Caenorhabditis elegans: one gene and its partners. The gene in region 3 interacts genetically with the main gene of each other region. Each region holds a gene or a part of one and is shown on either strand. Other genes may lie near its edges.

Evidence for each region. A genetic interaction does not mean that the proteins touch.
Region 1: changes in cku-80 (region 3) and atm-1 impair growth when combined (synthetic growth defect), as found in Caenorhabditis elegans (one study listed by BioGRID).
Region 2: of cku-80 (region 3) and unc-84, changing one suppresses a phenotype caused by changing the other (phenotypic suppression), as found in Caenorhabditis elegans (one study listed by BioGRID).

Annotation. Positions count from the first base shown.
Region 1 is NC_003279.8:180,532-186,814, reverse strand, and holds the start of atm-1 (Serine/threonine-protein kinase ATM), read right to left. Parts: upstream 3,452-6,283; 5' UTR 3,440-3,451; coding exon 3,359-3,439; intron 3,309-3,358; coding exon 3,186-3,308; intron 3,091-3,185; coding exon 2,606-3,090; intron 1,481-2,605; exon of another isoform or gene 1,406-1,480; intron 1-1,405. Other genes in the region: F56C11.3 (Sulfhydryl oxidase), read left to right, coding at 4,044-4,143, 4,199-4,270, 4,315-4,421, 4,470-4,676; F56C11.5 (MARVEL domain-containing protein), read right to left, coding at 4,849-5,001, 5,048-5,152, 5,301-5,564, 6,117-6,215. UniProt on the Caenorhabditis elegans protein: Serine/threonine protein kinase which activates checkpoint signaling in the presence of DNA double strand breaks (DSBs) and other forms of DNA damage induced by ionizing radiation and other genotoxic stresses such as UV.
Region 2 is NC_003284.9:13,581,935-13,590,772, reverse strand, and holds unc-84 (Nuclear migration and anchoring protein unc-84), read right to left. Parts: upstream 5,999-8,838; 5' UTR 5,994-5,998; coding exon 5,797-5,993; intron 5,303-5,796; coding exon 5,022-5,302; intron 4,970-5,021; coding exon 4,141-4,969; intron 4,082-4,140; coding exon 3,639-4,081; intron 3,581-3,638; coding exon 3,317-3,580; intron 2,837-3,316; coding exon 2,681-2,836; intron 2,630-2,680; coding exon 2,172-2,629; coding exon of another isoform or gene 2,160-2,171; exon of another isoform or gene 2,102-2,159; intron 2,097-2,101; coding exon 1,776-2,096; intron 1,724-1,775; coding exon 1,451-1,723; intron 1,391-1,450; coding exon 1,277-1,390; 3' UTR 952-1,276; downstream 1-951. Other genes in the region: col-9 (Nematode cuticle collagen N-terminal domain-containing protein), read right to left, coding at 1-417, 571-738; srf-5 (WAP domain-containing protein), read right to left, coding at 8,173-8,252, 8,302-8,448, 8,499-8,571. UniProt on the Caenorhabditis elegans protein: Involved in nuclear migration and anchoring in hypodermal precursor cells. Most likely recruits anc-1 to the nuclear envelope where anc-1 functions to tether the nucleus to the actin cytoskeleton.
Region 3 is NC_003281.10:4,417,881-4,424,755, reverse strand, and holds cku-80 (ATP-dependent DNA helicase II subunit 2), read right to left. Parts: upstream 4,909-6,875; 5' UTR 4,901-4,908; coding exon 4,760-4,900; intron 4,713-4,759; coding exon 4,517-4,712; intron 4,468-4,516; coding exon 4,290-4,467; intron 4,244-4,289; coding exon 4,160-4,243; intron 3,838-4,159; coding exon 3,765-3,837; intron 3,715-3,764; coding exon 3,480-3,714; intron 3,435-3,479; coding exon 3,304-3,434; intron 2,859-3,303; coding exon 2,543-2,858; intron 2,491-2,542; coding exon 2,430-2,490; intron 2,385-2,429; coding exon 2,299-2,384; intron 2,246-2,298; coding exon 1,827-2,245; intron 1,775-1,826; coding exon 1,642-1,774; intron 1,589-1,641; coding exon 1,500-1,588; 3' UTR 1,381-1,499; downstream 1-1,380. Other genes in the region: C28A5.6 (Protein kinase domain-containing protein), read left to right, coding at 1-94, 388-715, 762-961; R07E5.7 (vacuolar ATPase assembly integral membrane protein VMA21), read left to right, coding at 5,590-5,695, 5,742-6,056, 6,103-6,257; R07E5.19 (Vacuolar ATPase assembly integral membrane protein VMA21 homolog), read left to right, coding at 6,704-6,869.

The DNA of each region.
Region 1 (6,283 bases), on a different chromosome or scaffold from region 3:
ATCAAGTTTCTCCTTGACCTCCTCATAAAGCCGTTGTGTAAGCTGTGCCAAACGAACCCGCACGCTTTCTTGGAACGCTTTTTTATCTTTCTCGTACTTGCGCAGTTTGTTCATATGAGCATCGGTTCGTATCCAGCGATAACTATGGTGCATAGTCGTTATCGGCCTACTTCCAATTTTTCCGCTACGGTAGAAGGTGATCGCTTTATCCAACTCTTCCCTTGATACAGCTTTCTCACCGAACAATACATCATCTTGATCCGGCAACACACAGTCATACGGCTGAAAGGTTTTTTAAATGACAATTAATAGTGTCGAAACCAACATACCTCAAAAACTTCTGGCTCCCAATCGCCATATTCTTCTTGAACCAAATATTCGGATTCTTCCACACTGGTATCTCCATAATAAGATTCCTTTATAATGCTTGCCAAATGATCTGCCACCTTCTGCTCATGTCTCGAAATCGAGGGATTTGATGGGAGGGGATTGGGAAAATGACGATGCAAGGCAAACATCACGTTTCCGATATCAAAAGACATTGAATAAAAGAAAACCAATAGAATGTAAACTATTAAAGTGACAATTTCAGTGAAATTTATCAAAATACGAAAATAATAAAATTAAAAATTAGCGCCAGCTAACTATTTAGCAGAGCAAATACGTTTTGACCCAATATAAAAACAATAATATGAAAAAAAAAAATTAAAATAAAGTTTTACCAAATCGATATTGGCAAAACATCTTGTTTTTGAGGCTCCATATCTCTGCAGGAAAAAATCGCACTAAAAAGTGATTAACTGAAAACTTGTTAAACACAATGTAATCTGAAACTTTTCAGTTGAACACTTTTTTGTAAAAAATTTCGTTGCCAAGATATAGATCTTTAACTATTTAGAATATTCAAAAATAATGAAGCTCAAATCAATTGGTTCCAACTCGGCAACGAAATTTTTTACAAAAAAGTGTTCAACTGAAATGTTTTAGATCACATTGTGTTTAACAAGTTTCTAGTTGATCACTTTTTAGTGCGATTTTTTCCTGCAGAGATATGGAGCCTCAAAAACAAGATGTTTTGCCAATATCGATTTGGTAAAACGTCTTGATAAGGCATCAGAATCAATGATTCGGTCATTGAAAATAATGAAAAATAGGTTATTTGTGACACTCTAAAATATTTCATGCATTTTTAAAAAAATTTCAAAAAAAAATTTTTCGATCAAATTTTCTCATGGGTTTGGTGGAGAAAAAAGTGACAATTTTCGAAAAAAATTAAAATTTCTGAAAAGTTTCCAGGGTAATTATGGTTCAATTAAAAAGCAAAAAAATTATGTAAAACCCTCAAAAAAATGTTCTAAATACTTGTTTCCCGTTCTGAAAATTTTGTATAAAAAAGGCCAAAAGTTAAACCATGTATGGGAACCGAACCCACAAACTTCTGCTCAAGAGGCGAACGCGTTCACCACTCGACCACCGAACCGATGTTTTCGCCCTTCCACCATTGTGGTGAGACTTCTGTTGGCGCCAGAGACAAAAATCCACTGTTAACCATAGGAAATGCACTGATTTCAGTGTAGAATTTCAGACGTAAAAATTTCAGATTTCCAGCCCGAACGGGCAAAAATTTCAGTCATATTCTTATAGTAGAGAATGCCAGCTTTCCGATACAATATATTTTTTTTGAATATCGCTCCATTTATTCTGGTCATTCCCTAGTGAGCCTAACAAGGGAAGTATTTCAACTTAATCCCGGATTTCTGAATGAAACCTATGTCATTTCGAAGAAGACCCTTTAAGTAGGCCCCTACAAAAAAATTTAGCGGCAGAGGAGCACTTTGAACTGGAAAAAAGTCGCTCTGAAAATTTTTCTCTGCGTCCTCTCCTTTTCCAAAGCTATTTCTCACGTCCCTATATATTTAAGTAGATATCAAAGAGTCACGTTTTTTTGTCATCCATTTCATTTACAAGAAAAATTGTCGTTGAATGACCGAGTGGTTAGCGAGTTTGATTAATATTTTTTAAGACTGGGGTTCGACTCCGGGTGCCGATTTTTTTCCAAAATTGGTTTTTGCAGTTCCGAAAAATCTCAAAAAAATTTTCATTGTGTAAAAACACCCAATTTTGATCTTAAATAACTGACAACTTTTCTGAAATTTAAAAAAAATATATATATATATTCACTGAAAAATTTTGCCATGGACTTATTCAAAAAATTTCAGATTTTTTCGAAAATTTTAAAAAATTCCAAAAAAAATTCCGAGTGCTCTCCGGCCCCTGAGCATCCTAGAAATCTTCAAAAATCTACAAAAATTCGCATTTGGAGCCATTTTACGGGCCTTGAAAGCCGTGAAAAAATGCACTGAAAAGTTTTCAGAGCGACTTTTTTCCAGGTCAAAGTGCTCCTCTGCCGCTAAATTTTTTGTAGGGACCTACTTAAAGAGTCTTCTTCGAAATGACATAGGTTTCATTCTGAAGTCCGGGAATAAGTTGAAATACTTCCCTTGTAAGCCTATGCCTAAGCCTAAATCTAAGCTTAAGCTTAAGCCTAAGTCCAAGCCAATTTGAATTTTTTGAACATTATTTCAAGAACTCGTTTTCCACGCACTATTCTTTGGGATTTCCCATTTCCACACTTTTCTTCAGTGTTCCCATCACTTTCGCCATCAGGTCAATAGGCGACTTCTCGAAAACCACGTAATCCACGTTTTCCAGCAAGTTCGCCGCCAATTCCATATAATTTCTCATGGCGAGTGCCCCAATATCGGCGGTCTCGACACGGCTCCAAATCCATTTCCATAAGCTGCTCAAATGAGCATGCTCGGCCCAATGGAGCTGTGAGGCGTTGGAGCTCAATAGGAGCACGTTGGAAATCTCGTTTTCGATCGATTTTTCGGTGATTGTGATTGGAAATTCCAGTAGTTTCAGACAATATGCTATCCATGGCACCTGATTGTGATCGATTCCCTGCTGACAGCAACGTTTTAAATGTTGTATTGATAGCTCGAAAAGTGGAGTTGGGACTGGTTTTTCGCTTCGTCTTGTGCCCTTTTTTCGTTCTTTTTCGAATTGTTGGTTGGCTTCTTCGATTTCCTGGAATTTTTTGCTCTCATAAGCCTCAATATTTTTTAATGCTTATTTTTAAATTTACTTGTTGTTTACGACTTTTTAACAAAAAAAAAACTAACTTTCTTAGCTAAGTTGAATATACGTGCAGATAAATCATACAAATCATATATCTCCTGGTTATCCTCACTTAATGCCTCCGCTCCCAGAGCGTGATAGAGAAGAACCACCTCGTCGACGATTTTCTGCAAAAAAACAAATCAGGTTTTTTCGATAAATTCCACCAAAAACTTGCCTTTCTCGCCGTTTTCGTTCCATCCCACTCCAGAAGCTGAGCTATCGCGTGTTTCAGATTTTTTAGCTGAGTAACGCTCATTTTCGCATATTTCTGCAAACAAATTGTAAAGTGTGACGAGTTTCAGGTGATAAAATGCTTGAGGTGGGCGAGTGTTATCAATAAATTGAGAAAATAGAAGAATTTTTGATCAGCTGGGCGGAAAATGCGGTAAATAACGAATTTTTGTAGGGAAAATTGATTTTTGAAGGATTTTCCCAGGTTCAGACCACTAAAAAAATTGTAAATCTCTGTTAAAAGTGATTAGATGCAACAAATAATTAATTTTTACATTGCAAAGCAAGAAAATCCACCAAAAATCCGCCAAAAATCTATTTTTTGGGCTTTAAAAATCAAGACAATTCAAAAAAGCTTGATTCCCGCGCGCCACGATTTCCCTCATCTCGAGATTTCTCTGCGTCTACGCTCTCTAACGCGTGTCAGTGGAGCGCACTTGCATTTCTTGTTTTTAGTTAATTTTTTTTCGTTTTTGCATCATTTTTTGCGCAATTTCTCACATTTTTGACCTATTTTTAATGCATTTCTATAGATTTGTCGTAGACTATGTATAGTTTCATAAGTTTACGCCCTAAAACGGCTTCTAAAACTGACGAAACGAAAACCAAGTTTAAAAATTAATTTCAGAATGGAAATCGGTCCAGATGGAAAGCCGTGTCGTGCATGCGTCAGTGTAGAGGATATGATGAAAAAAGGCAGAGAAATGGCTGAAAAAATAAAGAAAAAAGGTGATTTCCCTAGATTTCCAGAGCAAAAAATCTCAATTATTTTAGTTCTTTGCAGAATCCGAGACGACGCCGAGCACGAGCACAGGAGCGAAGTTGCACGGATGTCCAGTAGACAAGGATGAGCTCGGTTCGCTTTTAATTCAAATTTCCACCAAAAATTTCAAATTTCAGGCAGATCCACGTGGAATTTGCTACACACAATGTCGGTTTACTACCCGGAAAAGCCTACCGACGAGGATAAGGATCGAGCCAGAAGTTTCATGTCTATTCTAGGAAAAGTTAGCTAATAAGCTCAAGATTCCCACAAAAACGCCTAAATTTTTCAGACATATCCCTGCGATTTCTGCGCCAAAGATCTCCGAAAAGATCTGAAAGAATCGCCGCCAAAAGTGGAAAGCCGCGAGGCGTTTGCGCTATGGATGTGCCAGCTACACAATAAAGTCAACGAAAAAACCGGAAAACCAAAGTTCGAGTGTCGAGATGTGATGCAAAGGTGGCGAGACGGGTGGAAAGATGGATCGTGTGATTATTAATTGAGAAGAATAAATAGAATATATCAAAGATTTTTGTACAGAATTCGAAAATAAAGTATGAAAAAATTAAAGCCTGACACATGTGATAAAAGTGAAGAATTTCGGGACATATATACACAAAAATTTACCGGATTTTTTCGAGAAAAATTCAACAAATGGTCTAAAATATAGACTAAAAATCGGTGGCCTGAACGATTTGATTGGGGTATAGTGAGAGTTGAATCGTCTTCGGCGCACAATACTCCTCGACCGACGGAGTACGAGATTGAAGTTTCTGGCTCTTCAAAAGCTGGTAACTATCGATGACGACGTACATGCACCAGGTCTGCAAAAATTAAAGTTACATGGGTCTCGCCATGGGAAAAGCTCACATTCAGCACAGCGATGAGCAAGTAGGAGACTGCGAAAATGACGAGAAGGCCCACTAGGAATCCGGAAACCACGTTTGTTGTGATCATTGGCGCCGGGAGAATTGTCTGGAAAATTTAAAATACATATATTAATGAAAAAAAAAAATTTTTTTCGCAAAATGGGTCTTTTTTTTGGAAGCAAAAAAATGAGGAAAAATTGAGGAAAAAGAAGGAATTTCCCAAGGAAACAAATTTCATTTTTTACCACACTTACCATGGAATCAGCGGCGATTTGCGGATTTGTAACCACGACGAGCAACTGAAACGTGGCACCGTGGAAAAGCGCATAAAGCGTCGCACATGTGAGTCCCAGGAAGCACAAAACGAGCAGAATCTGCATGACGATGTGCGGGATGAGAAGATTTCCGATTTGGTAGAAAATCGCGACGAAAAGCAGAAAAATGACGAGCAGAAAGAGCAAGGCGGCGATTGTGAAGACGGTCGAGTGCTCCGAATTGCCCCAACTGCCATTTGAGAGCTGAAATAATTGATTTTCAGTTTGTTTTTTCAATGGGAACTGATTTTTTTAGTGAAAAAGAATTTTTAAATTACTGTAGGATTGAGTTTTTCATTGATTTTTTCCACACAAAACTGAAAATTTTCAGATTTTTTTTAGGTTTTTCCAGTTTCTCAGATAAACGCTTAGTCGTCTAATTAGATTTCAACCATATTCAACGAGATTTCAACCATATTTTTTAGAAAATCCATATTGCATTATATTTGCTCCATATTAGATTAGAAATCCATGTTAGATTAGATTTTCTCCATATTTCATTAGAAAACAAATCTAATCCAATATGGTCGAAATCTAATCCAATATGGCACGATCTCAGCCATATTTGATTAGATTTGCTCCATATTGGATTAGATTTTAACCATATTTGGTTAGAAAATCCATATTGTCAAATCAAATAAAATCCATAAGCCTATTAATTATGTCCCCATTATATTTGCTCAGTTTCTAATCAAATATGGTTGAAATCTAATTAGACGACTAAGCGTTGGTCTGAGTTGCAGGCAAACAAATTACCTGATAAATTAAAATCGAGAGCTCGACGACGGCGATCGCGATCGATAAGTGATTGACGTGGATGAAGCATCGTTTTGTGTTGTATGTCTGCTCGTCGGCCTGAAATATATATCTTTGCTTAATTTGCTGCTACAAACTTGAAAATTTAGATTTATCTCGAAAATGTG
Region 2 (8,838 bases), on a different chromosome or scaffold from region 3:
AGGGCCTGGGGGTCCCTGTGGACATTGTTGACACTGTGATTGAGTTCTAGGTTGGCAAGGCGATGCGCCTAGTCCGGGCATTCCTGGCATCCCGTGACCACCTGGTCTTCCTGGTCGACCTGGTTTTCCTGGGTGGCCAGATGGACCGGGAGGACCTGGATTGCAGCATCCCATGCAGGTTCCTCCTTCTGACGCAACAACAATTCCGCTGCGTGGTGGGCTTCTCCAACCATTATTCTTCTTTTTCTGGGATCTATACCCAGTATTATAGCCGCGGGGTTTAATATTGCTTCCTCTTCCAACAGCGTAACCAGTGTTACCTTCACCTCTAGTAACAGTGTAAGCTTCGCGAATTGTTCGATTGTGGACGATGTCGACATCTTCGGTCATATCAAACCAGATTTCGTTTATAGACTTCTGAAAATATTATACTCTTAATTGCCGCAAACTTCTATGTAAAATGACAATTATGTTTTGCTAGGAAGAACTTCAATTACTAAAATGTTCAGGTATACACTACTAAAAACTATTTCAGCACAAAACATTACTAATGCTTAGTTTATCACTCACCTTGCAATATGCTCCTTCTCTGCTAATAGTCATCATTCCATTTTGTGCATGCTCGTAAATCAACGGTAGTGTTACACAAAGAAACGCTGTAGCTATTACTGAGCTTCCAACGACAGAGTACGCCACAAATTTGAAAATTCGTAATTTTAAATCTACACAGGACTCCATGAAAATTGAAGAAAATACAATGTTAACGCTCTCGCATGGTTTAGTATATATAGCCCGAGGAATACAAAAGAAATGATCAATGAATGTGTTAGGCGGTATACTCAATTAATGTCGTTTGCTGCGAATCCATCGGTTACGGTTTGTTATGCCAATCTAACACTTATTCACTCTTCCACATAATGGGTTTTAGTTCAGTTTTACAAGAACAAAAGATATTGAAATAATTTATGAAAATCGATAAAGTATTTTGAGATCAGGGGGTAAAGGCTGCAGAGAAATAGAGAGTGATTGGTTTTGCATTCAAATATATTCAGGCCAAGTATTCAGGAGACCGGTAAACTGCATGAAAATGTAATGATATTCTATACTTTGAAAAAAAATGGACACGCGCTAAAAATATAACAAGGGAACTGGAAAAATTTGGGAAAATGAATTGTGATTTGAAAAATTGGCAGGAGAGGGGTGAAATTGAAACATTTCGGAATCAGATCAATGGAAATTGAAAATTTGACCATAAAAACAAGATTAACAAAATAAATTAAACTTGAACAACTTTTCCATGAACACGAAGGCGGTAGAGACATGTGAACGGAGCTCCGTAATTGCTTGTCACCTCGAGCTCCACAAACTTGACAGGAAAATCGGGTTTGTGCTGAAAATGTTAATTCGATAATAGCCACACACTTGTCAAGAATTAATCATTCGGACTTACCTTGGCAAGGAAGAATTGAAGTGGCGGGCCATCAAGATCATAAGTGTAGTCGCCAATCAAAACTCTCGAGTTCAGGTCGTCAATCTGCTTGTAAGCCCAAACGAGGACTCCCTTTGGAGCACTCGACCGGTTCCCTTCTGGAGCAACTTCTGATCCAATGTGCTCATAGCTGATGCTAGAAACATCAATGAAATGAGACAGCTCGACAGCAATGTAGCCACGGGATTCTTTGAAGCACCAGCATTCCCCAGGAAACAGGGATTTGGAATTTCTCTGAAAATGAAAAGATAATAGGCTTGGAGTCAGAGGATCCTAAAGCGCTCACCTGAATGACAACTCTTGGAGAGTAATGGAAATAGTAGATTGGGATATCCCAAAACTTTTCCAGCCTTGTGTAGCTTTTGTACGTCTCCGAGCATCTTGTTGACACAACAGCTCCACCTGAGCTCTCCAGGGCATAGTCAACTTTCCCAGTTTTATCCGTGTCATACTCGTAGATCATTTGACGGATGATAGCTTCCAAATGATTCTTATCATATTGAATGTTGGTGTTTTCCATTTTCAGTTGCTCAATAATTGTGTTGTAGTTTTGCTCAAACTTTGCGCTAAGCTCTTGCTGGAATTGGGCGGACAACTCGGCGCGAAGCTAAAAATAACAAAAATCTTTATTATGTACATATGTACAAAACATCAATCATTCAATAATTGATTAGTTAGTTACCTTCTCCGTTACCTCCTTAATGATAGCATCTTTGTCAACAGTCTCAACAACGTTAGTCTGATGGATAATTACTGGGGCCGGAGTTGGCGCTGGGACTGGGATAGGTTTAGGTGCGGGGGCGGGAATTATCACTAGTTCTTCGTCCTCCACATCGGTGACTTTTCTCAGTGGCTCTTCAACAATACGCTCCACATCCGGAGTTGGGGTAATAGCTTGTGGAATTGGAATCACTTGAACAACATCTTCTGGAGCATATTGGCTGATGCGAATCCAAGCACGAGTGCACAAACTGAATGGGTAGGCAATGAGGAAGAGAATCCAGTTAATTACAGTTTTGAGCACGGAAACCACGGAGTTGTACACTTTTCCAAAGACTGCCGCTACCTCATTGAAGAAATACATGTAGTTATCACCAGCAAAGTTGAACACTCCAGCGATTGGTGCATAAATGAAGTTATCTGAAGAAAAAACACCATTTAAGTTTATAGTTTGAAAATTGTAGCACTTACAAAAAATGTTAGTGATTCCGGTGCCAAATGACTTGAGAAGAGAAAGAATGGAGTTTTGGGAAGAAGTAGAAAAGTTTAAGAGACCGGCAAAGATAGTTGAGAAAAAGTTGTAAACAGCATTTGAAGCATTGTAGATGAAGCTCTTTGTATGGCCAACTGTAAAAAAAGCGATTTTCTTTGGTTTTTTGTAGTGTCTTTCTTGTTGTAAATACAAATAGTGAAAACAGATAATATCATTTTTTTACGTGTAAATGGTACTTGCTGGTACTACAAAAGTTTTTTGATGTTTCAAAAAAAATTAAATAAAACGTGAATGGTATTTTAGGCTTAGGATTCTACTCAATTAATAACTCAAAAAGTTAATAAGTTCTAAGCCTGAAAAATAAAATAATACTAGCATGTTGCTCAACACTTTTATTTCCATTTTATTTCATTCGTTACAAACATTTTGGAATTCAGTTTTCTATTTCACAAATACCAAGTAAATTACTGTTCTGAAAAATAAAAGCTAATACTCATGTCCCATTGATAAGATGTTGAAAATTACTAAAGATTTCCAGCATAATGGATTGATCGAATTTTAATTTTTTAAAGTTTTACCACATTTTGACTGCATACAATTTGTATTTTCCTTACCAATTGCTGTGCATCCGTTGTACAAGGTCTCGTAGCAACCGTTGAAAAAGGTTCCGATAGACTTGTTTGCTGACAAGAACCCATCTGAGCCATAGTAAAATAGCTTTCCAGCACAAAAATCGATGAATCGAAAACTCGATGAGAGCACAGATTTTAAGCCATTTCCAACAGCGCCACATCCGCTTGCAATCAGGTCCCAAGCATAACGTGGAGTAGTGCCAAGTCTACCAATCGTCGACTTTCCATAGTTGTACGTGTCAAATGCTGGAATTTAAAGATGTTGTTTTCTACACTGAACAGAAAAATGAGATTTATAACATACCAATATCTACAACAAATTCCTTCACCATCCATGTGTAATGTTTAACGTGATTTGCAGCTGAAATCCAGATTGGCACAGCTGGGAGGGATCCTTCCGACTTCTTAGATGCATTCTTATCTTTGGTAATTTCTTTAACTCTTATTGCTGTGTTGTCAGATGTCAGGAATCCAAGGAGAAAGATGGCGAAGAGAAGAGCCAGAAGTAGACCGAGAATTTGACACCACGAGAACTTTGATGATTTCTTATCGGTAAGACCAGCAAATAGTCCTCCAAAATAGGAAACTGTCTCAACAATTCCTCCTTTGAACATTGCAAATACCACTTGATGCGCTTCAACGATTGTTGCTACGAATGAGCTCAAGAAATCGGCAATTCGAATTCTCCAAGAAACACCAACAGCATCATGAACATCTGATGAACTTGGTGCCGGTTCGTTGATATCTCTGTATAAATAACATGAAAAAAATTGAACTCGGTCATCATAAATTTAAAATGTTCATACCTGACATGAATAGTCTCCATTGGCGCTTGCTGATAATTGGTCAGCTTCATGTAGGCACTCTTTCCATAATCGTAGAACGTATACCATACATGTCGTGCCGCAAAGAACGGGAACAATATCAAGTAACCTAGCCAAGTGAATGCAGTTTTAATCTTATTTCCTGTCGCTTCTTCGTATTGATAATTGTAAGTTTCTTGTGGGAACAAAGGCGTGGAAGTTGCAGCAGCATGACCAATGTCAAAAGTTGGTTCAGGAGTATTCAGATGACTCAGTCCTCGGCTTCGAAGTCCATATGTGGAGAGTGGTGTGTCGATTTCGAGTTCCGGAGTATCGAGTGCTCGAGTTATAGCTTCACGAGTGGCACGGGTTTGGCGGAATCTTGGGGTAACTGAGCGTTGCTTCACTGTTCTAGTAGTCACAACAGTCGGGGTTATATTTTCGGACGTTCCTTCTCCGAATGGAGAGCTCGAGAACACCTTGGCAGTGATTCTGGTAATTGTACTAGTCTTCACAAAGGCTGGAGCTGCTCGGCGTGCTGGTGATTTCGATAATCCATCAAACTTGCGGCTTCTTTCCAATGTTTGAGATCTTGTCGTCATTCTGCTAGCTCTCTCATTTTCCAATTGATCCTTGATCGAACGGTACTGGTACTGTTCCACGCCATTGTTACTTCTTGTGAGCATTCTGTAAGGAGTAAGCACGACGTAGACAAGGATCTCAAAGAATCGACGAATAGAACGAGCAGCCTTAGTGGAGAATGGCTCTTGCCGGTTGCGAATGAGAGCTGTACGGCGACGATGATCTTGGTAGGCGTAGTAACGAGTTTTCGCTGAAAAAAAATTTTTTTTTTAATTCTAACATTTTGCAGAAAAACAACTTACCGAGTTTCACCAAATACAACAGGTAGTCCCAGATGGTGAAGCTAGTGATCTTGATGACGTGGTAGAAAGCTTCCAAAATGTAGGTGATGACGTGAAGAACAAGGTAGACGGGGAAACGGAGGATATAGAGAAGCTGTCTGCTGAGACTGGCCGCTGACCAGTGCTCCTGCTCAGAGAGTGATCCTGAAGTAGTACCACCAAGGTTTGGCACTTCCCAGTGGTCCGGCAAGGATGGATCGTAGATTTTGCTGTATGCGTATGTGTAGTTGGTTGCGTATGGTCTGAAAAAGAAATTATGAAAATTTTATTACATTAGGAATATAAGTTCAACATTTGAAAATGCCAGGAAAAGTTAATCTTCTATTATAGGTTTCGTTTCGCCTTGGTTTTCTAATTTTTATACAAGACTTGTAAACACTACATATTTAAAATTAAACAACCAACATTCACACAGACTTAAAACTCAAAAAGAAACGGAACCACCAAGAGCTCACTGGTAAGTGACCTTTATTCTTCTTCTTCCCGCTCAGATTCCTTCGCCTTAACCCACCCTTGTAACCCGATACTTTCTGGTGTTCTACTTTTCCTCTTTTCCACCTCACTGCTCAGAACAACACAGCTTTTACATATTTGTCAAAGGCTTCTAGGGCGTCAAGTACAAGCAAACTGAGTTCCAAAATACACAAACAAAACGTGGCCTAGCAGGTGCGCGTGAAACCTCGGCCGTATGTGGCGCGAAATTTGAATGAGAAAAAGGGGGAGGGGGGTAACATACAAGTCGCCTGTCAAAGCATCCAGCTCTTCTTCGGTAAGACGTGGCGATCTGGCGTTTCGAACTGGTGGAGTCAGGAGAAGCTTCCGGCGAACTTTTGCAAAAATGTTTGGAGAATTGCGTCCAGAGCGTGTGGATGCGAATTCCGATTTCCATTCATGGGTGTCGAAGTTGTTGTCGGCTTCCGTTGCGGGAGCCATAGTACCTGCAAAACACAATTTTAAGGAAGATATTAAAGATATTAAAGAGCGGTGAAAAAAGAAGTATTGAAGTGAGAATAAAAAAGTAACAAAACTTGCAAGCATCGAGTCTCTGTCTTTGTTTGATTTTGAACTACGCATGATTCATCGCACCAAAATCTGTGCGCTTTACAGAACGAGCAAACACTTTTATGAAGACAAAAGGGCTTGAGAAGGAAGAAGACTGGGAGACGTTCGTGTTTCTCACGATTATAATCACCTGTTGGTTTTGATGGGCTGAGAAAAGAATATATAATACTGCCTGATTTTATTATGAAATTTAAGAGAAAAAAACTGGCAAAAAAAACAAAACATATCACATCACAACAAATTAAATACGCAACTTTTCGAAACATCGCAAGGCAGAAAAAATTCAAACCAATGTTGTTTGTGTGCTCACCCCGTCGGGCCCTCCGTCTCTTCACCTTGCACACTATACTCGAATCGATATTGTTTGTGTGAGTGTTTTTCTGGGCGAAAGGAGGAGAAAGGGAGGGCACACACATACACGCAACAGTGAGCGTCGATTTAATGGTTTCGGTCGGTCACCCCAGTCTCCAATCGCCATCACCCCCGCCGAATGGTGCAGGTGGTGGACAGCAGATAGGGGGAGAGGGGGTGAGGCAGTGTGTTTTTTGTAGAGAGTAGTTGTCTGGCGTACGGTGACAAGCGATGGAACCGAGTGAGGGAGTGTGAGATGGGAAGAGAGAACACCAGAGAAGAACATGCATCTACGTGTTGCCCTCTAAACACGTAAACAGGCCGAAGGAATTAGGCATCATTGCAATGGGCAACAAATCGGTGAGAAGTACTGTGAAAGAATCGGAAGTGTGTCTCGCCTTACCACGTAACCTTGAGGCTAATTTACAAGCCCAATTGAAAAGTGTTGTAACGATTAGACACAGTCAAGAGCAGATACGGAGAAGTTACTAGTTTTCAATAAACGTTTGTAGAAGAACATGAAATACATATCAGTACGTCAGATATAGGCTATCAGTAAAATAAACCCTCAACCAAAAACACAAGCACAATCTGCGTGTCCACAATGTTTTCCGCTTTAAGTACTGAACTATGTCTGTTTTTTTTATAAAGCACAACTTCCAGATCAGTTACTTCGGCCTGCGTGGAAGGTTTGAATGATTTTAAATTCTCAAATCAATCGCATGGCTCTGATCTCTGGTGTTGTTTTTGTTGACTTTTTCTACAATTTTTGAACAGTGATCTATTGGATTCACATGGTTATGAAACTAACAAAAACTACGGTGTTTATTTACTATAGCAAAACTTTTTTCTAATTTTAACTTTTAAAAATTGAAATCAGGTTCTTCTAGAATATTGAAAATGCCGCTTTTCAAACTGAAATCAATTTTTTGAGTTTTTGAAATCAATTTTTTGAGTTTTTGAAGCCTACTGCCAACTTTTTGAAAAACTAATTCAAAAGTTTTCCAGAAGATTTTCAATTTTTAAATTTTTTTGTTGTATTTTCATGTCTATTCACAGAGTGAAAAATATTAAAAAAATATATAAAAACCAAATTTATCAAGAACTAATCAGATTTCCCATTCTCAAATTTCCAAACATCTTGATCGAATTAATCGGGATTTTGATGGGTAATCAAGTGTTAAATATGTTTTAAAGAGGGAGTAGTTTAAATGGGGAAAACATCAAAGCTTATAATGCAGTGCATACTGAGGAATTAAAAGAGAAACTGAACATTTTTTTGAAAAATGAGAGAATATGCTTGAAAATTTATTATAATTTTAAGTAGACGCTCAAGTTTTTCATTTTCTAGATTGATTTTTTTAATACAAAACTTTCTGTTTGTTAAAAAAAAACAAGTTTATATAACAGTCAGTGCGCGCGAAATTCAAATTTCATCCACTTCAACTATGTTTGTCGCTTTAGAGTAAAAAATTATCGGTGTGAACTTTTCTCACTCTTTTTCTCAATAACGTCCTTTTGACTTGCTTCGTTTTCAAAAATAAAACACAATATTTTTTATGGAGAAAGTTTGAAAAAAAAAAGAAATTGAGCGAATAGGAAAAGTGAAAAACGTTTCTGCAAATAAAGCTAATCCAAGAGAGCAATGAGCAAACATTGACGTTCAAACGTGAGGAAAAAACGAAATAAAGAACAATTTTCAGAGCTCAGCATCTTCCATTTCTGCTTCTTTAATGTCGGCTTCAATTTCTTGTTGTCGCTTCCATTGGTCAATTTTATCTGGAAAAGCACAATTTGATTTACTTTCAACATTCATATTTGCACTTACAAGTGTGAGCACAACAGAAATCCATTCCACATCTAGAATGCACACACGAATACGGTTTTTGACATTTGACTCCGCCCATTGCGTCACAAGTCTGTGGGGTATCATCTGCCTTTCTCATCACATTCCAACCTCCGGGACAGTAATCCTCTACAAACATCGAATTTGTTTGATGGATTAGAATACAAATGGCAACTAACCTGCTTTACATACACTATCCACTAGATTAACCAAGAATGCCAGAAAAATGAGACAGATGATGATGATTCTCATATTGAAGTGAAGTGACCCGGTGAATGGGATGAATAAGGAAAACTGTGAAGGAAGAAGAGGAACAGTCGAGATTGCTATCTGGCACGCAAAAATGAGGTCGCTCTAGATTTTAAAGTTCCAGTTAAGATCTAGCTGGGAGAATATGAATTGAAAATATTAGGGGGCAAGATTCCAAAATTTGAAGATATTGTAACACTTCCTGATCACATGCAAAATTTCCGTTCAGAAACGTTGCAAGCGTTCAATTTTTTGCAATGTTAAGTTCAC
Region 3 (6,875 bases):
CGATGTTGTCAAGAATAAAAAAGGTCGAGCGAAAGGTGATCCGGAGAAACAGAAGCAGGATAGAAAGGAGAACAAAACTGAAGAAGAGAAGAGTGTAAGTATTATGGATCCATCTCGAGACGTAAATAGAGAATGCCGCAGTTTGAAAGCAAAGTGCGTGCAATTGCGCTCCACGACAATATGAAACTATTTATTGGCGGCAAATCCGGAAATTCAAATTTTTAGTAGAAAATTTTAATTTACGTTTTTGACGCCAATACCTAACGATATATAAATTCCGGTGAGCAGAGTTTTCATTGGAGCGCAATCGTACCAACTTTGATTTCAAAACTATAGTTTCTGCGTCGCGATAATATAAACGAGTCTTTGAAAATTTATAATTTTCAGAAATTATCTGAACCACCGAAGCCGAAGCCGGGAAGAGGAAAAAAGGTCAGCCGCGGACTGATCACCCGCGAGTTTTTGTTGGGAATGAGACATGATTTTACTGGTACACAGTCGGCAATGACAGGCTCATATGATTCTACGTCTGCCACATCGTTATCCACGTGGACTTCGTCTACGTGTGCAACTGATGAAGGAGAAGAGAAGAGGAAGTTCAAATGGAGTCTGAAGTCTGAAGAGGATTCTGAAGTTGAGTTTTTCGAAGACTTGGATCAAGAGGAAAGAGAACATTTTAGAAACTATGAGAATCTAGTTGCTCTTTCTGTTAAAGGTATTTTTTATTATTATTGTAATTGTTGGTCATACTCTTGTTATAGATGAAGTGGCCCTCTCGTCTGGATCTGAAGTCGAACCACTCTCTGATATTGATTCTGAGGAGAATCTGGCAATTATTAAAAGACTTGAGAAACGAGAGATGGAAATCGGTTGGGAAGTGTCAAGTGAGCGGGAGAAGACAACCGGCGATAGAAGCCCAGATGATCAACTCGATAAACTGGAAGCATACGAGAAGAAGTGAAAAAAGGAGAAAGATTAAAACTTCCATCGGAACTTGATCTATTACTTGAAATTGAAGATTTGAATAAACTGAACTTGTTTCTTAAATTTGTGAATACCTGAGTCGTCATTTTAGTGGCACAAACTCCGTCAAAGATAGTAGGCAGGCACATTGGCTAGATGTAGGCGATAAACTAGGCATTGAAACCTGTGGGAGGTGCATAGGTATACCTATAGGCATGCATTATGCACACAAGTCGGTAGACATTAAGATCGATGTTTGAGTACTTCTCTGTTATTGTTACCAGTCTGCCTACCGATACACTTGGGTACATCACATTTTCGCCTACCTACGAGCCTACATCTTGCTTTTCCCTACTTTTTCCTCTCACTGTACGTACTAAATAAAAAAAATGCTGACTTTCACATTAAAAAGCGTTCTTTGGGTGATCACCATGATACGGTAGTATGATTTTATTTTCATTTCAGTTCATTCACAGCTTTAAAATGATTGTAGTTAGTTATTTGAGATACATTGCCATAAAATAAAATAAAAATGCTCAATCTTCTTCCCAGAATTCGGCAGCATTGGCGACGGAGACTTCTGACATGCTGACTTCGGAAGAATCAATTGGATTGCATGATTTTTCTGAAATTTGTTGAATGAGGAATGGCAGAAAAGTGGACATGAAATGGTAGTACCTTCAGAAAGAACTTCAGCAAATGGTTCAAAGTCTTCTTCGTCTTTCAACTTCTTGAGAAGTTCATTGAACTCGTCACATTTTGAGTTTTCAACGAAAACTGAGCGAATAACATTCAATTCATTGACGAGAAGCTGTAAATTTAAAATTTAAAGTTTTATTTTGAAAATCTATTTTTGAAAATACCGTAAAGAACTCAGTAACTGCTCCATTTGGTTGAAATTTGCAAGTATTTGAAATCATTTCAAGAATTTTCGAGCAAACACGACTAGCTCCGCCATCTTCCATGATATCCATTTGAACTTCTTCTTTTCTCGTCAATTTCTTTGCATTTGGTTTTTTCTTTTTCTTTTGACTTGCACCATCATCTACCTCATCTGGTTGTGTCATATTCTGTTTTTTCTCCGTCCATTCGGATATCATTGTCTGCAGATCTTCAGGCTCTACCGTAACCCGTTCTCGTTTGGTTTTCTGAATTGGTTGCAGATTGAATTCGCGGCCAAGCTTCTGGAAAATCTCCGGATGTTCTGCTTCGACTCTGCGTTTCGGTGCCATTATTTGATCGAGAATTTGATTGGTTCGATTGGAATGATTTTCGAAGGTATCTGAAATGACAATAATATTATTTCATTTAAACCGAATTCACAAGAATATGTACCGTTTGGATGTAGAACTAAACTTTTGAGAAAATGGCATTGCATCTGCAATTTTGGATCACTCATTCCACCTTCGACCAGTGAAGAGCTGAAAACAATTTTTTATTGGACAATATTTTTCTGAAATTCAAACATTTCATCTTCTTGTAATTGCATACAATCGATAAGGTCATCTACAGCGGAGAGTTGAGCTACTGAAATTTAATTAGTTTTTTGTTAAATTCAAAAGTCTGAATGAATATATACCAGTAGGCTTATTCAAATCTTCATCTTCCTCGTCAAATGAGAATTTCGGGAATTTCAATGTTCTCATATCATCGGAAAATGGTAATTTCACTGATCTTAGATAGAAAACGCCAGTTTCTTCATCTTGATGTGGTAGAAGAGCAATGAGTTGCACATGAGATTTTGCATGGAATGTGTATCGACAAATGGCAGCGACTCGAAGTGAAAGCATTGCTTCGATGAGGGATACGGTAGCTTTGGTGGCACCTGATTTTGGTGAATTGAGAGCAGGAAGTACTGTTTTCGCGCTGGCATCGAGGAGATATGAGTCGAGAATCTAGAAATAATTATTACAATTATGAGATGCGAAATTTTGCGATTTATGAATGGCTATCTTTCTTTTGTTGTGATTTTGAACCAAAAAGTAAAAAAAACGTTATTTTTTTTTCAAAAATGCTAATTTTAGAAGAGAGGTAAGACACCGATTTTTTCGGAGAAATTTGTTTTTGGTCGGAATTATTATTGTGACAACTGGATCTGAAATGAGATTTTTTTGGTAAAATTTCGTGATTAGTTTTTCGGTTTTTTTCTCAAAAAAATGACCATGATTTGTCTATTTTAAAATACAAATTTCAAAATATCGTGTTATAACTGTGAAAAATCGATGAAATTTCAACGGAAACGAAATTTTGAAATTACAGTACTCTTTAAAGGCGCACACCCTTTTTTCGTCGCCTCTAATTTAACATTCTCCGTCGTTGCGAGACCATGTCATATCTTACATTTGCTCTTTTCGTGAACTGTATCAGTTTTAGCACTCCACCAGTCTGTCCCTCGTTGAAATTATGATCATTGTATTTTTCTTTAAGATATTCTGGGTCCATCATGATAACCGATTTTCCGAAATTGTAGCCTGACGCATTAATAATAGATTTTAAAAAATTTAGAATTTCACTACCATGCATAGTTTTTATATTTTCAACGGGTTTAAAGTTTTTCTGAAATTTCGGTTTCTCTTCCAGAACCGGCGATTTGAATTCATCTTTCGGAGCAACTTCGTCAGTTTCCACGTGCATTTGTTCCAATCGAACCATTTCATTTCCTTCGGAATCTGCATTTTTGAACTTGAGTAGTGCTGTAGATTTTTCAGATTTTAGAGCAAAAATCACCGGGAGATGGATTCCAGGAGCAATCTGAACGTTATTTTTATTGTATTAGATTAGATTTCTTCAAAAACTCTTACATCCCACATTTTATTGTATTTTCTCTCGGATTTCTGACGAGCCTGGAAGGTGGAGAGCATCTTTGCGACGTTTCTGGAAATTGTAATTATGATGATATTACTCCAGGCGCGAAATGTTATAGTATTTGCGCCGAAAATACGGTAGCCGGTCTTGACACGACAATTATTGTTAGATACAAACAAGCGTGTTCCTTTAAAGGGTACTGTTATTTTAAATTTTCGTTGTTGTGGAATTTTTAAAGATTTCTCAAATAATATTTATGTGTTTTTAAAAACCATTATTTCAGTTTTTTTTAACGAAAAATTATGGAAAATCGATGAACATTTCGCAAAAAGCGTGTCTAGATTCCGTATTTTTGGCGCAAAAATCGCCAATTTTATTTTTAAAAACTCACTGAAAAGTATATGTTCTTCCTTCTAATGTTTCTGCCAATTCTGCAACTCGAGAAGCAGGATATTCTGGATTTTCATCGATTCCACTGGAATAAGTATTTTTTTTTCAACGCTAAAATGGAAAAATCTTACATTATCATCAAATCTGCATTACTTTCACTAACGGCTTCAACTAAAAGATCGAAATTTTCTTGTCGAATGTTCTCGTTTAATCCATTTGTCAGTACAATCAACGTGATTCCTGATGGATTCGGATACGATTCGATTTGATCTTTTAGCACTGCGACGGCTCCCAGAACACCTTTGAAAACTGAAAAAAATAAATAGGATTTTTGAATTTGTCTTGGATATTCTCTCACAATTTGGATCTATCATTTCTGTATTTTGCTGCAATTCCTTTGTGATAAACTTTAAATGATCAAAGCTGGCTGGTGTAAACTTTTCATTTTGACACTGGACTCCATTAAATGTTTGACCGCCAACTTCTGTTTTGTATTCTTTCGGATCCAAATTGTAGGCCATCACTGAGAAGAGCTCGGGATCTTTGGAAAATAGCTGAAAACAATTTTTTCTTTGAAAGTTTTCTCGAATTTTAGTATCACTTTTCTCGAAACAATCCAATCTGCAGCATTGATCGCATTTTCAAATGCACTTTTTCCAGTTTCAGTGTCTTTCACAGACATATTGGATCCTGCGTCGATAAGGATTACGGTAATCCCGGGAGATACCTTTTTAGGCGGCATTCCTGTAACTTAATTTAAATTGGTGATGTTGAGAAGTTCATATGGAAATATTGCGAAACATGTGAATAAATAATGCGTGCGTTTTTCAAGACTGGCGCGGGTTTTGTACGCAAACACCAACTTTTTGCTGCAGCGAAAAATGAATTTTAAAACATTAAAATTAGAATATTAAAAGAAGATCATTTTAGATACTGCTGGAATATAGCTTTTATCGTTTTTTTTTTCAAATAAAATAAACCAAAACTGATTTTTAAACATTAAAAACCGCTCCCACAAATTCACGAACGTTCGTTCGAACCTCGCGCCGATTATTTTGCGCGTCGAATCTGGTGCACGCGGACAGTTCACCGTCACGCAAAAGTGCACACTCTCAGAGATTGATCACATTTTTCGGTCATTCGTTGTTTTTCGTGAAAATCAAAGTTTAAAAGGGATGTTTCGGGAATTTTTTGTTTGATTTTAAACATAAATTAAACGGTTCTTTCCGAAGTTGAAAGTTCTTCGGTTTTCCGATAACTTCCTCCTTTTCTTGCTTATTTTCAGTGTTGTGTTTGTGTTAAACGTTTTCCTCGTTGCCCGATTTGGTCTTTCGTAATTCTATTTTCTCTGTCAATAACTGACGTTAAATTACACGCTCTATATTTTCATGCGCTCTTCTGGTTCCTCGGTTGTATTTAAATCTTTCCAGAATGAGCGATACTCCAGAACAGGAGCAAGACTTCGAGCTGATCGACGGAGCTGAACGAAAATCCAGCACTTCAGATAGTTTTGAAGCTGTTGATGAAAAGAAAAATGGTATTTTACAAATATATGTTTTTTGTTTAGTGAATTAATAGTTTAGGTAGTCAATCTGTCAGTGAAAACGAGGATGACAATGCTGACAAATCGGCGAAAGAGGAAGATGATGAAGTTGAAGAGGAGATGAAGCTTCCATTCGTTGATCAGTCAATTAAAGACGACGCAAATCGGCCGAAAGAGAAAGACGGTGAGGACCTAGTAGAAGAGGCACTGAAAGCACCGATTCGACCCGATCAAGAACAATTCTACACAGCAGAGCATTCGAATAGAGCTATAACTCTGCTCATCGCATTTTCTGCAATGATGTTCACACTTCCACTGCTTGTTATGGCAAGCTTGTATTATTGGGTATTCATCGGTAAGTGGACTTTTCCAGAATCAATTTTATAGATAATTTGTTTCAGACCACTTCCATTTACCACCAGCAGAAGCCATGCTTTATGCCGGAGTATGTGCTGCCTTGGTCGTAATTCTCATTGCTGCCGCTTTCTGTTATATTGCATGGAAAGAAGAGAAAGACGCCGAAGACAAACTCAGAGCAGAGAAAAAGAAAGAATAGCGTGGCTGTGTATTATCTTCTTCAAAAATTCCTCCTGAACATTCACTTCCCGTTTGGACCTCGTTTACTTATTTGTGATCACTTCGACCCGTTCTATTTATATTAGTGCCTCTGGCTAGATGCTTTTGTACATAACGAATAAATTTTTTTTGTTATATTTTTTCCTTACTAATTGAATTTTTCTCTCTGAAGCGTAGTTTTCGCTTTACTATATTTTAATTTGAAATTGTCAAATTTTGTATCTCTTGATTTCCTTTACTTTTGGCGCCGCTGGATTCAACTCGGGATATCCGGGATTTTTTTTAATTAAAAAAAAACAAATTTTCGGTAAGATTCTCCCAGAAACCTTGGTATGAACCTATTCTCCCCTTAATAATCTTATTTTTTATTCCAATAATAATTATTTGATTTTAAACCCATGGATATACCGAGTTGTTTGCAGCGAAATGACCACTTCCTCTTCATCCGAACCATCAACAATGGCAACTCTGTTCCCGAACTTTCGTGATCAGGAAGTCCAATCCGCTGTCAAGAACCTTCTCACGTATAGTCTTGTGATTCTCATCGTTCCTCTTGCTTCTATGTTCCTCTTGAAACAATTCTTTTTCGAAGGTACAG